Mus musculus: one gene and its partner. The protein of the gene in region 2 interacts with the protein of the main gene of each other region in a pairwise test. Links are inferred from orthologs where the notes say so. Each region holds a gene or a part of one and is shown on either strand. Other genes may lie near its edges.

Evidence for each region.
Region 1: the proteins of Cdh1 (region 2) and Cbll1 interact in a two-hybrid assay, tested with the Homo sapiens proteins (2 studies listed by BioGRID, with this or other methods). The link is inferred for Mus musculus from reciprocal best matches to the Homo sapiens genes CDH1 and CBLL1.

The regions. Positions count from the first base shown.
Region 1 is NC_000078.6:31,486,223-31,490,766, forward strand, and holds part of Cbll1 (E3 ubiquitin-protein ligase Hakai), read right to left. Parts: intron 4,320-4,544; coding exon 4,246-4,319; intron 2,093-4,245; coding exon 1,057-2,092; 3' UTR 1-1,056. UniProt on the Homo sapiens protein: E3 ubiquitin-protein ligase that mediates ubiquitination of several tyrosine-phosphorylated Src substrates, including CDH1, CTTN and DOK1. Targets CDH1 for endocytosis and degradation.
Region 2 is NC_000074.6:106,665,174-106,670,573, forward strand, and holds the end of Cdh1 (cadherin-1 preproprotein), read left to right. Parts: intron 1-220; coding exon 221-351; intron 352-1,013; coding exon 1,014-1,157; intron 1,158-3,232; coding exon 3,233-3,442; 3' UTR 3,443-5,074; downstream 5,075-5,400.

The sequences.
Region 1 (4,544 bases), on a different chromosome or scaffold from region 2:
TTCAACTTAGAGGAAAAACTCACCACAGCCACAAAAACCCGAGTACATGCTAGCTTGTGACTACAAGGAACACCGTCTGCTAATACATTAGTCAGATTCCTCCACATCATTCAAACTGCAGTGTGTAATTCCATAAATAAGAACACACTATGCACTAAAACACAGAATCAAACTGAGAAAAAGGAGATTTAAATAAAGCCTAGTCAGCCCCAAACATGTAGGTTAAGACAGTGAACAGAGAGCACATTTCATCCAATAACAACTTTAAACAGTCCTATAAAATAATGTAACTTAAGACCTTTAAGTGTGACAAGTTATGTGATTGTAGCCACTCAGAAAAAGCGTCAATGAGAACAGCACTCACTGGCAGCTTAGAGCCTGTAGAGCAGGTCGGTTTCCCAATTACACACTACCTGGAGACATGCCAGCCAAGCACAGTTACAGAAACGCTGATGATCTGCAGCTGCTGTGAAAAGGCATCCGAGTGAACCGTATTACAGAACTACACTTTGAACTTTCAGTGCCTAAAGTGTGAATAATTCCCTACATTTAACAGTCTGCCTGGTAACGATTTAGTAGATTTTTACTTTTAGGATTTTAACCTTGGAAAATTAGTGGTAAAATATGGGTTAAAAAATGATATGGCTGCACTTAAATTCACATAAAAATAGCATTTTTACAACCATTTTGAAATTTAATTCTTTTACACAGGTTAACAAAATGCATCACAAGAAAACTAAACATTGGGTTTAATAAAGTCAGTATTTCTCAAAGTGGAACAGTGAATTTTTTTTCAATTTTTTACAAATGGTCGTTTTGGGAAAATTTATCACATCAAAGTAACAGTTAAGATAGAATTGTGCTCAACCAAGCCACTTATCTGCACTACAGAATAGTACTTGAAAGCAATCCTAGTCAGATTAAAACCATTTTGAGAGACAAGACTTGTGTTAATAGCTACCTCAAAAGAGGTAGTTTTCCTTCCACAGTCAAAGGTCAATTAAGATTGACTAATCTTTTTTTTCCTTGTCATATCTTCAGTTCAAAACACTATGATCACTGGTAATACGGTCTGTATCTTGTTTGATCTGGATGATGCGGTCCAGGTAGTGGGGTTTGAGAAGGCGGGCCCTGCATTCGTGGAGGAGGAGGTGGCCCTCTTGGTGCAGGCCATATACCAGGACTCATTCCTCCTGGTTGTGTAAATGGAGGGCTCAGAGTTCCTTGGTCTTCAGTAAACTGGGGTAAAGAGTTAGGATTGTAATGGTGAGGAGGGGGTGCAGTTACAGGTGGACCACCATGCTGAGGTGGAGGGGGTCCTGGAGGAGGATGATTCATATAAGGTGGCATCTGGGCAATAATATGTCCAGGGGGAGGGGTTATTGGGGGTGGAGCAGAGGTCATTGGTGGAGGTGGAGCTTGGCTATATACCAAGTGAGGAGTACCTGCAGCCTGGGGAGGGTGTGGCATTGGATGGCTTATTGGTGGTGGAGGAGGTGGGGGTGGTGCGTAATGTTGCTGTGGAGGCATAATATGATGAGGGTGAGATACCACGGGCTGACCCTGATATTCAGGATGGTGATGAGCAGGTGCTGGGGCAGGAGGTGGTGGTTCTCTAGCACCTGAACTGGAGTCATCCTGAATAGGGACCGTTATTAAATTGCTGTGTTTTCTTGTTGAAATACGAAAGGTTTCCTGACTGACCGAACGAGGTGGAGGTGGAGCCATGGACAATTCTGCCGGAGGAGCACGAATATCCTCATGTGGCTGATTATAGTGCTCATGTGGCACATGCTGCAGAGGAGGCGGTGGCATCATGATGTGCTGCTTTGGAGGAATATGGCTCATATGATGCTTGTCTGGTGGCATTATGAACCGATCGGGGATGTCAGTTGGTGGGGGGGCAATAGGAGGATGAACATTCTCAAGTGAAGCACGGGTAACGGGCTTTCCAGCTCTCATATGGCGATGGTTGATATGAGCTTGTAAGTCTCTCTGAGACAGATATGTTCTCTTGCATCCTTGAACAATGCTACACATAAAGAGAGAACCTCGTGTGCACTGCTCAATCCGCTGCACAGGATCACTACATCTAAACAGGAAGAAAAAAATGATTTACTAAAGCCAAAACACAAACAGCACATTTAATTTAAGCTTTAATTTAAAATATAATATACTTGCAAAGTTAACAGTGAGTATTGAATTACTGTTAGTGGACCTCTAACATTTTCTATTTGTATCAGAAACTAATCATCAACATCTCTACCAACCAGAGACTATTTTTACCTCAGAACTCTAAACACCAAAATAGAATTTCTTAAGAGACCTTCTATTTCCCAATACTTACAGCTCATTAATATTCTCTAACTATAGTATGATTTACATAGAAGAATGACAAAGCAAAGGATCTATCATTTACAACCAGGGAGTTGTCTCTTTTCCTTGTAGGAGCTAGGGTGCTTCTAATTTGTGGCCACTTTGCACATTTCTTGCTTTTCAGCCATCTAATTACTACACAGTCAGAAACATATCCATGCTAAATAGGGTAAGGTCTTTTCTTTTGCATGATGCCCAAAAGCAGTAGCATATACTATTTAAATTAATTCTGGTTGGTAACTTTATTTCCTGCCCTTGGTTTGACAATTAAGACAGGTTTCTCTCTAGATAGCTAAAGACTACACTGGTGAAGTGCATACTAGAACACATTTAGTTACCTGAAAACTAAATTGCACTTTTAAATAGTAATAGTGAAACCTCTATGGGCTGGAGATATGGCTTGGCAGTTAAGGGCACTGAATGCTCTTCCAGAGGACCTGGGTTCAAATCCCAGCACCCACATGGCAGCTCACAACTGTCTGTTAACTCCAAGATCTGACACTCTCACACAGACAGGCATGCAGGCAGAACACCTATGCACATAAAATATAGGTAAATAAATTAAAAAAAAAATCTATGTAAAAGAGAGAATCTTTTAATGTTCACTACATTTAATGTTGCATTACATTTTAATTCTTTATCTTAATGGAACAATCACATGTTATATTAAGCTAATGCACAACACTGGGCTGGGAAAGGCATTAGAGAAATACTTCAACAAAGGCTACAATATATACTTCCAAATTTTATATTCTTCTGAATTATAACTCTATAGAACATATAGTAGTATCTTTTAAACACAGTATATATTTCATAATCTATAACTTTAAAAACCTAATGAAATATACCAAGAAAATCAGTTGTCATTGGGTCATTAACAAATCACCCCCTTTTTTTCTTAGCAAAGCCCATATCCTGCACCACAGAGGGGAAATCTTTTCTTACAGTTGTTTATAGTTTTGTTAACAATCAATGGTGTTCCTTGGGGTACTTTCAATTTTAGGTTTAGAGGATCTGGAAACCCTTGAGCTAATCCAAAGTTTCACTCCATTTTTCTCAAGGCTTTCTTATCAGGGGTTCCAAATTAATATAAATTTTCACTTTATTATAGAGCTATCCCAAGACAGATACCATGATGTATAACTTCGAGTCTATCATGATGTCGTTATCACCCAAAACACACCTGTTTGGGTTATTGGAAAACAGGAATAGTAGTGTTTATTATATGCCAATTCTACTGTTCATTAATCCTTACTTCATCTTAAAAAGAATACAGGGAGCCGATAGCTATAAAGCCACTTGTACCACACAGCTGATCAATAGTCAAATGGGGACCTGACCTCAACCATTCTAATCCTGGGGCCAGTGAGACAGCTCAGCAGGTAAAGTGCTTTCTATGCAAGCCTGCTCTTCTAAGTTCCATCCCCTGAGCATAGGTGAAGTTGGAAGGAGAGAACTACTCCACCAAGTTGCCTTCTGACCCTGGCACATGCTCATACCACCCGCCACATTATTCACATACAATTAATAATAAAAGATGTTAATTCTCACTTTGGAAAGAGGTTGTTCTCAATCAGCAAACCACGCTATACTTGCTTCCAGGTATGCCAGACACACACAAAAGAGAAAACAAGAAACCGCTCTGCTGTCCAACACTGTTCCCAGAGATGTCATCATTTCAGCTACTCTGAATGAACTGACAATGGCTAGCTCCATCTTCCAGAGAAGGGGAAAACTAACTCCAGGTTCACACAGAGTGGCTCAGCCAGCACGTTTGCATCCTTGTCTAGTCCCATTACTCCAAAACCTTTAACCCATCTTGCTTATAAGCCACTACTACTAGAACATCTAAAGATGATCATATCTTACCCTGGGCACATCTTATCTCCTTTTTTTTCATGTAAAATAGCACAGTCATAGCAAAAGACATGCTTGCATGGAATCTGTAGGCAAAAATATCATAGTTAAGCATCCTAGAACAAATTAGAAATTTTCAATACTAATTGTCAGTACAGTGATCTACCAACAGGAGGCACATAGGAGTTAAATGAAAACTTATTAAGACTATATACCAGAAGCAGCTAGGAGGGAGGGAGGGAGGGAGGGAGGGAGGGAGGGAGGGAGGGAGTCTGTCTGTCTGTCTGTCTGTCTGTCTGTCTGTCTGTCTG
Region 2 (5,400 bases):
AGAAGTGGTATCAGGAGCCAGATGTCAAACTTGTTTATCATTTTTGTTATATTGTTTTTTGAGAAATGATCTCATTTGGCTGGACATGAGATAGTCCTCGTTCAGGTGGCTACCCACCTGCCTGGTGGGGTGAGGCTGTGGCATTCCAGGACAGTGGCTTCCCCTGGTCTTTCCTGCGTGTGGCTCATCACTCTTCCCTGCCTTCCTTCCTTGTCTCCAGTTCTGATCCTGCTGCTCCTACTGTTTCTACGGAGGAGAACGGTGGTCAAAGAGCCCCTGCTGCCACCAGATGATGATACCCGGGACAATGTGTATTACTATGATGAAGAAGGAGGTGGAGAAGAAGACCAGGTGGGTTTTAAAGATGGAGAGCTTTAAGTCTGATTAAGGGGTGTTGGGTAGGCTATGTCAGTCATCACCCTGCTGTACTGCTATGGAGGACAGAACTCTGTGGTCACAAGAATTCAAGTTTCTTCCCCCAGACACTCTTGTGTTCTCTACACTGCTGGTTGATTACATTGAGACTCACAACATCTGTAAATCAGTGAGGGCCTTTCCCAACCAGGCAGCGTTGTGATGAAAGACTCTAAGCTGCAGCCTACGCTCGGGTCTGCTGCACGGGAGCCTCATGTGAGTTGCAGTAGGCATGCATTGCTGTCTTATTGCCTGAAGCCCCTCACATGCCAGAGCCCGTTTTTAACAGACAAGACACTACTTGTATCAGCTGTGACGGGGAGGACTAAGGATTTGCCAGGTGATTACCTGATAATCATGTCCCGAGAAACGAGTAAGACTCAATAGCTTGAGTTCATGCAGTCCCCAAGGGCTCCTTTTTCTTTCAGTTTGCATCAGGAGACTTGTAGTTTGGAAAATGCCATTTCATATGCATTTGGGCACTTGGGGGTCGTTTGCTTTGTCCATCAGCATAGTCTGTGATGCCATGAAGCAAGCCCCGCCCTGTGCGAGCAGCTGCTTCTTTCTCACAGGCTCTCATGCTCTGCTCTTCTCTCTAGGACTTTGATTTGAGCCAGCTGCACAGGGGCCTGGATGCCCGACCGGAAGTGACTCGAAATGATGTGGCTCCCACCCTCATGAGCGTGCCCCAGTATCGTCCCCGTCCTGCCAATCCTGATGAAATTGGAAACTTCATCGATGAAGTAAGTAGACAAGGCTGTGAGGCAAATCACAGTACATCTCTTAACTCCGAACCAAGAAGAAAAGCGTTCTAAATGAGGAGAACCTTCCAGTGGTTGCTGTACTGTGCCTATGTCCCCGAGACAAAAGCAAAATCTACTTGCAGAGATTTAGGAGACCTAGGAGTTACAGAGCAAATCTGCTTTGCATGAGTTTCCTGCATTCATTACACCTGTTTGGGGGAGTGTCACAGGGAGCCAAAGGCCGCTTGGCAGGTAGATAAAACAGCATCTCAGCTACATGAGGACCGTAGTTGGTGCCTCAGATACACTGTAGTTGGCATCCGAGGCACCAACGTAAATGCCGAGCAGGCATGGTGGCCTGTTTATTCTAGTGTTCAGATTAGAGCATCCTGAATCAGCAAGCTCTAGGTTCTGTTGTCTGAGACCTTGTCTCAGTAAATGAGGTAAAGAAAAGTTGAGGAAGACCCCTGATATTGTCAACCTTGGGTTTTCATATGCACATGTGCACACAAAAACACGCTATACATAGCACACACAGTGTTTTCCAGATTACCTAAGGCCCCTAAAAATAGCATCCCTCATGTAACATACTCACGTAACGTACTTATATGTGTTAGAAATAGTTTCAGCTCTGATCAAAACACTTAAACAGATAATAGGAGATGCTGGGTTCAGCATTCTATTCTGTTGAAAACATATGCACATATATAACATATTAACTCTTCTACCATCCTGCTCCATTATTTTGCTGTCTTAGGTGTGTTTCTTTCTCCTCTTTTCTCTTCTCTTCTCTTCTCTTCTCTTCTCTTCTCTTCTCTTCTCTTCTCCTCTTTTCTCTTCTCTTCTCCCCTCCCCTCCCCTCCCCTCCCCTCCCCTCCCCTCCCCTCCCCTCCCCTCCCCTCCCCTCCCCTCCCCTCCCCTCCCCTCCTCTCCTCTCCTCTCTTCTCTTCTCTTCTCTTCTCTTCTCTTCTTTTCTTTTCTTTTCTTTTCTTTTCTTTTCTTTTCTTTTCTTTTCTTTTCTTTTCTTTTCTTTTCTTTTCCAAGACAGGGTTTCTCCATGTAGCCACAGCTGTCCTGGAACTCTCTTCATAGACCAGGCTGGCTTCAATCTCAGAGCCCCACCTACCGCTGCATTCCCAAGTGCTGGGATTAAAGGTGTGGGCTGCCACTGCCCGGTATTGGTTACTTTTTTTTTTTTCTTTTTTGCTGTGCCAAGATACCATGCCTAAGGCAGTTTACAGAAGGAAGAGTCTAATTTGGGGTTCTAGAAGGTTAGAGTCCATGACAATCATGGCAGGGAGCCTGGCAGCGGGTAGACATGCACAGCTGGAGCAGGAGCTGGGGGCTCAGGCCAGCCTGGTCTGCAAAGTGAGTTCCAGACAGCCAGGGCTATACAGAGAAACCCTGTCTCAAAAGACAAAAACAAAAACCAAAAAAAACCCAAAAACCAACCAACCAAACAGAAAAATGTCAAGCCTTGGCCATGCCTTTAGTCCTTGCACTTGGGCGATAGTAGGTAGCAGGTGTATCTCTGAGTTTGAAGCCAACCTGATCTACAGGAGGGAGTTCCAGGATGTCCAGGAAAAACCTGGATTCAAAGAAAAGCAGAAAAAGACTGAAGCCTGTTCTCAGTAGCACACCTTCTCCAACAAGGCCACACCTCCTAATCCTTCCAAATTGTTCCAGCTGGGGACCAAGAGTTCAAACACTGGCTGGCTTTGTATGTACTCGCTATGTAGATCAGGCTGGTCTTGAAGTATGTAGCAGAGGAGGACTTTAAATTCCTGATTCCCCCAACTTCAGAATTAACATTTAACAATAGCAGTTTGTCATCTGTCCTTCGAGGATTTTCTGGGCTGAACTGTAACCTACGTGTTTTAGTATGACGACTCTCGTTGCTCTTACCCTCTGTCCAGCCTGGCCTTGGGACTTTGCCTTCTGTGCTGGTGTGTGTGTGTGTGTGTGTGTGTGTGTGTGTACCTTGAAGGGGTTAACTACTCCTTGGTTAGTTTTTCATGTTTGGGGTGTTGCTTGCCTCTGATGCATACTGATAAGTACGGTGCTCTTCCTTTTAGAACCTGAAGGCAGCCGACAGCGACCCCACGGCACCCCCTTACGACTCTCTGTTGGTGTTCGATTACGAGGGCAGTGGTTCTGAAGCCGCTAGCCTGAGCTCACTGAACTCCTCTGAGTCGGATCAGGACCAGGACTACGATTATCTGAACGAGTGGGGCAACCGATTCAAGAAGCTGGCGGACATGTACGGCGGTGGTGAGGACGACTAGGGGACTAGCAAGTCTCCCCCGTGTGGCACCATGGGAGATGCAGAATAATTATATCAGTGGTCTTTCAGCTCCTTCCCTGAGTGTGTAGAAGAGAGACTGATCTGAGAAGTGTGCAGATTGCATAGTGGTCTCACTCTCCCTACTGGACTGTCTGTGTTAGGATGGTTTTCACTGATTGTTGAAATCTTTTTTTATTTTTTATTTTTACAGTGCTGAGATATAAACTGTGCCTTTTTTTGTTTGTTTGTTTCTGTTTTTGTTCTTTTGAGCTATGATCTGCCCCAGACACAACAGCCCCAAGCCCCTCACACCTCACTAATTTTTTACATTGTGTACTTGCCCTCAATTACCATGTTTGCTGTATTCTAATAGTCACTCATGTTCCTGAATTCTGTTGCCCTGCCCAGGTGATATTCTAGGATGCAGAAATGCCTGGGCCCTTTTATGGTGAGAGACAGGTATCTTGGTGTGGGTGCAACTGCGCTGGATAGTGTGTGTGTTCCCAAGATCTTTCGTGGTATTCCCTCTCCACCTCCAGAGAACTCATTTACAGTGGCATTCCTTGTTCGGCTATGTGTCTGGGGCAGAACAAAAAAAAGGGACCACTATGCATGCTGCACACGTCTCAGATTCTTAGGTACACACCTGATTCTTAGGTGCATGCCATAGTGGGATATGTTGCTTTGATCAGAACCTGCAGGGAGGTTTTCGGGCACCACTTAAGTTTCTTGGCGTTTCTTTCAAACCAAAACTAAAGAATGGTTGTTCTCTGAGAGAGACTGGAGTGCCACCACCAAAGACAGAGGAGAGAAAAGGAGAGAAACCAAACTTGGGGACAGCAACATCAGCGAACCCGGCTAGTTGGCACACCGATGGTGAGGGTACACAGGCGGTGAGACCTATCCCACAAGATTTCTGGAAGACTAGGCTTATCTCAACCAATGTTTTCTGGCTGGAATCTTTGTCCATGTATTCCTGAAGCCCAGGAAATGCACCCCTCCAATGCCTGCTCTTGATGGTAGCTACAGAAAATGCTGGCCGATTTAAACCCAAGTTGCCCAGTTCTGAGTAGAAAACTGAGACTATGCTGTGTGTGGCGGCGCGCACCTTTAAGCCCAGCACTCAGGAGGCAGAGGCAGTCAGATCTCCCTGAGTTCGAGGCCAACCTGGTATATATAGTATAGTAAGCGAATTCTAGGACAGCCAGGGCTACACAGAGAAACCCTGTCTCTGCAAACCAAAAGAGAAAACTGAGAATATTACAAATTGTGCATTTTCTCAGGAAGCAGGAAGAGAACATTCTAACGGGAAAAAGGAGACAAGACCTTTGAGAGTTTTCATTCAAAATGCAAATCTCAGCTTTTTGATAACCACTGGAAAGAATTTTATTGAAAGTTCTGTACTTACCTAACTTTGGAAGAAAATGATGACCACAATCAACTGTGAGAACTGTTGATTTCTCTGTAGTTTAATCATGTAATGTTGCTAGAGTGACCTTTGTATGTAGTTTGAGTGTATGTGTGTGGGTGCTGATAATTTTGTATTTTGTGGGGGGTGGAAAAGGTAAGCCATTGAAACCGTTCTCTAAGATGCATTTTTATGAATTTTATTAAAGAGTTTTGTTAAACTGTTGTGAGGCTCACTTGATTTGACTCTGCCAGGATTCCTAGACCAAAGGACAGAGGTGAACTCAGATCATGGGAGCTTCCAGCTGATGTGTCTTCTCCATGCTTTGGGGGTCCTGCATGGGGAGGAAATGCTTCCACGGGGTCACTGCTCAGAGCCCCATCCATGTGATGTGTGGTGGGAGCAATAAGTACCAAGGCCACTGGGGCATGGGGGACCTGCGAGCTTCAAGGCTGTCGGCAGACATTTTCCAACAGTAATGGAGGCAGCGATTCTGTGCAGAGGAAGACTGGCCTCCCCCGAGCGACGTTTGTCAGTGCCTTTCCGCTGCC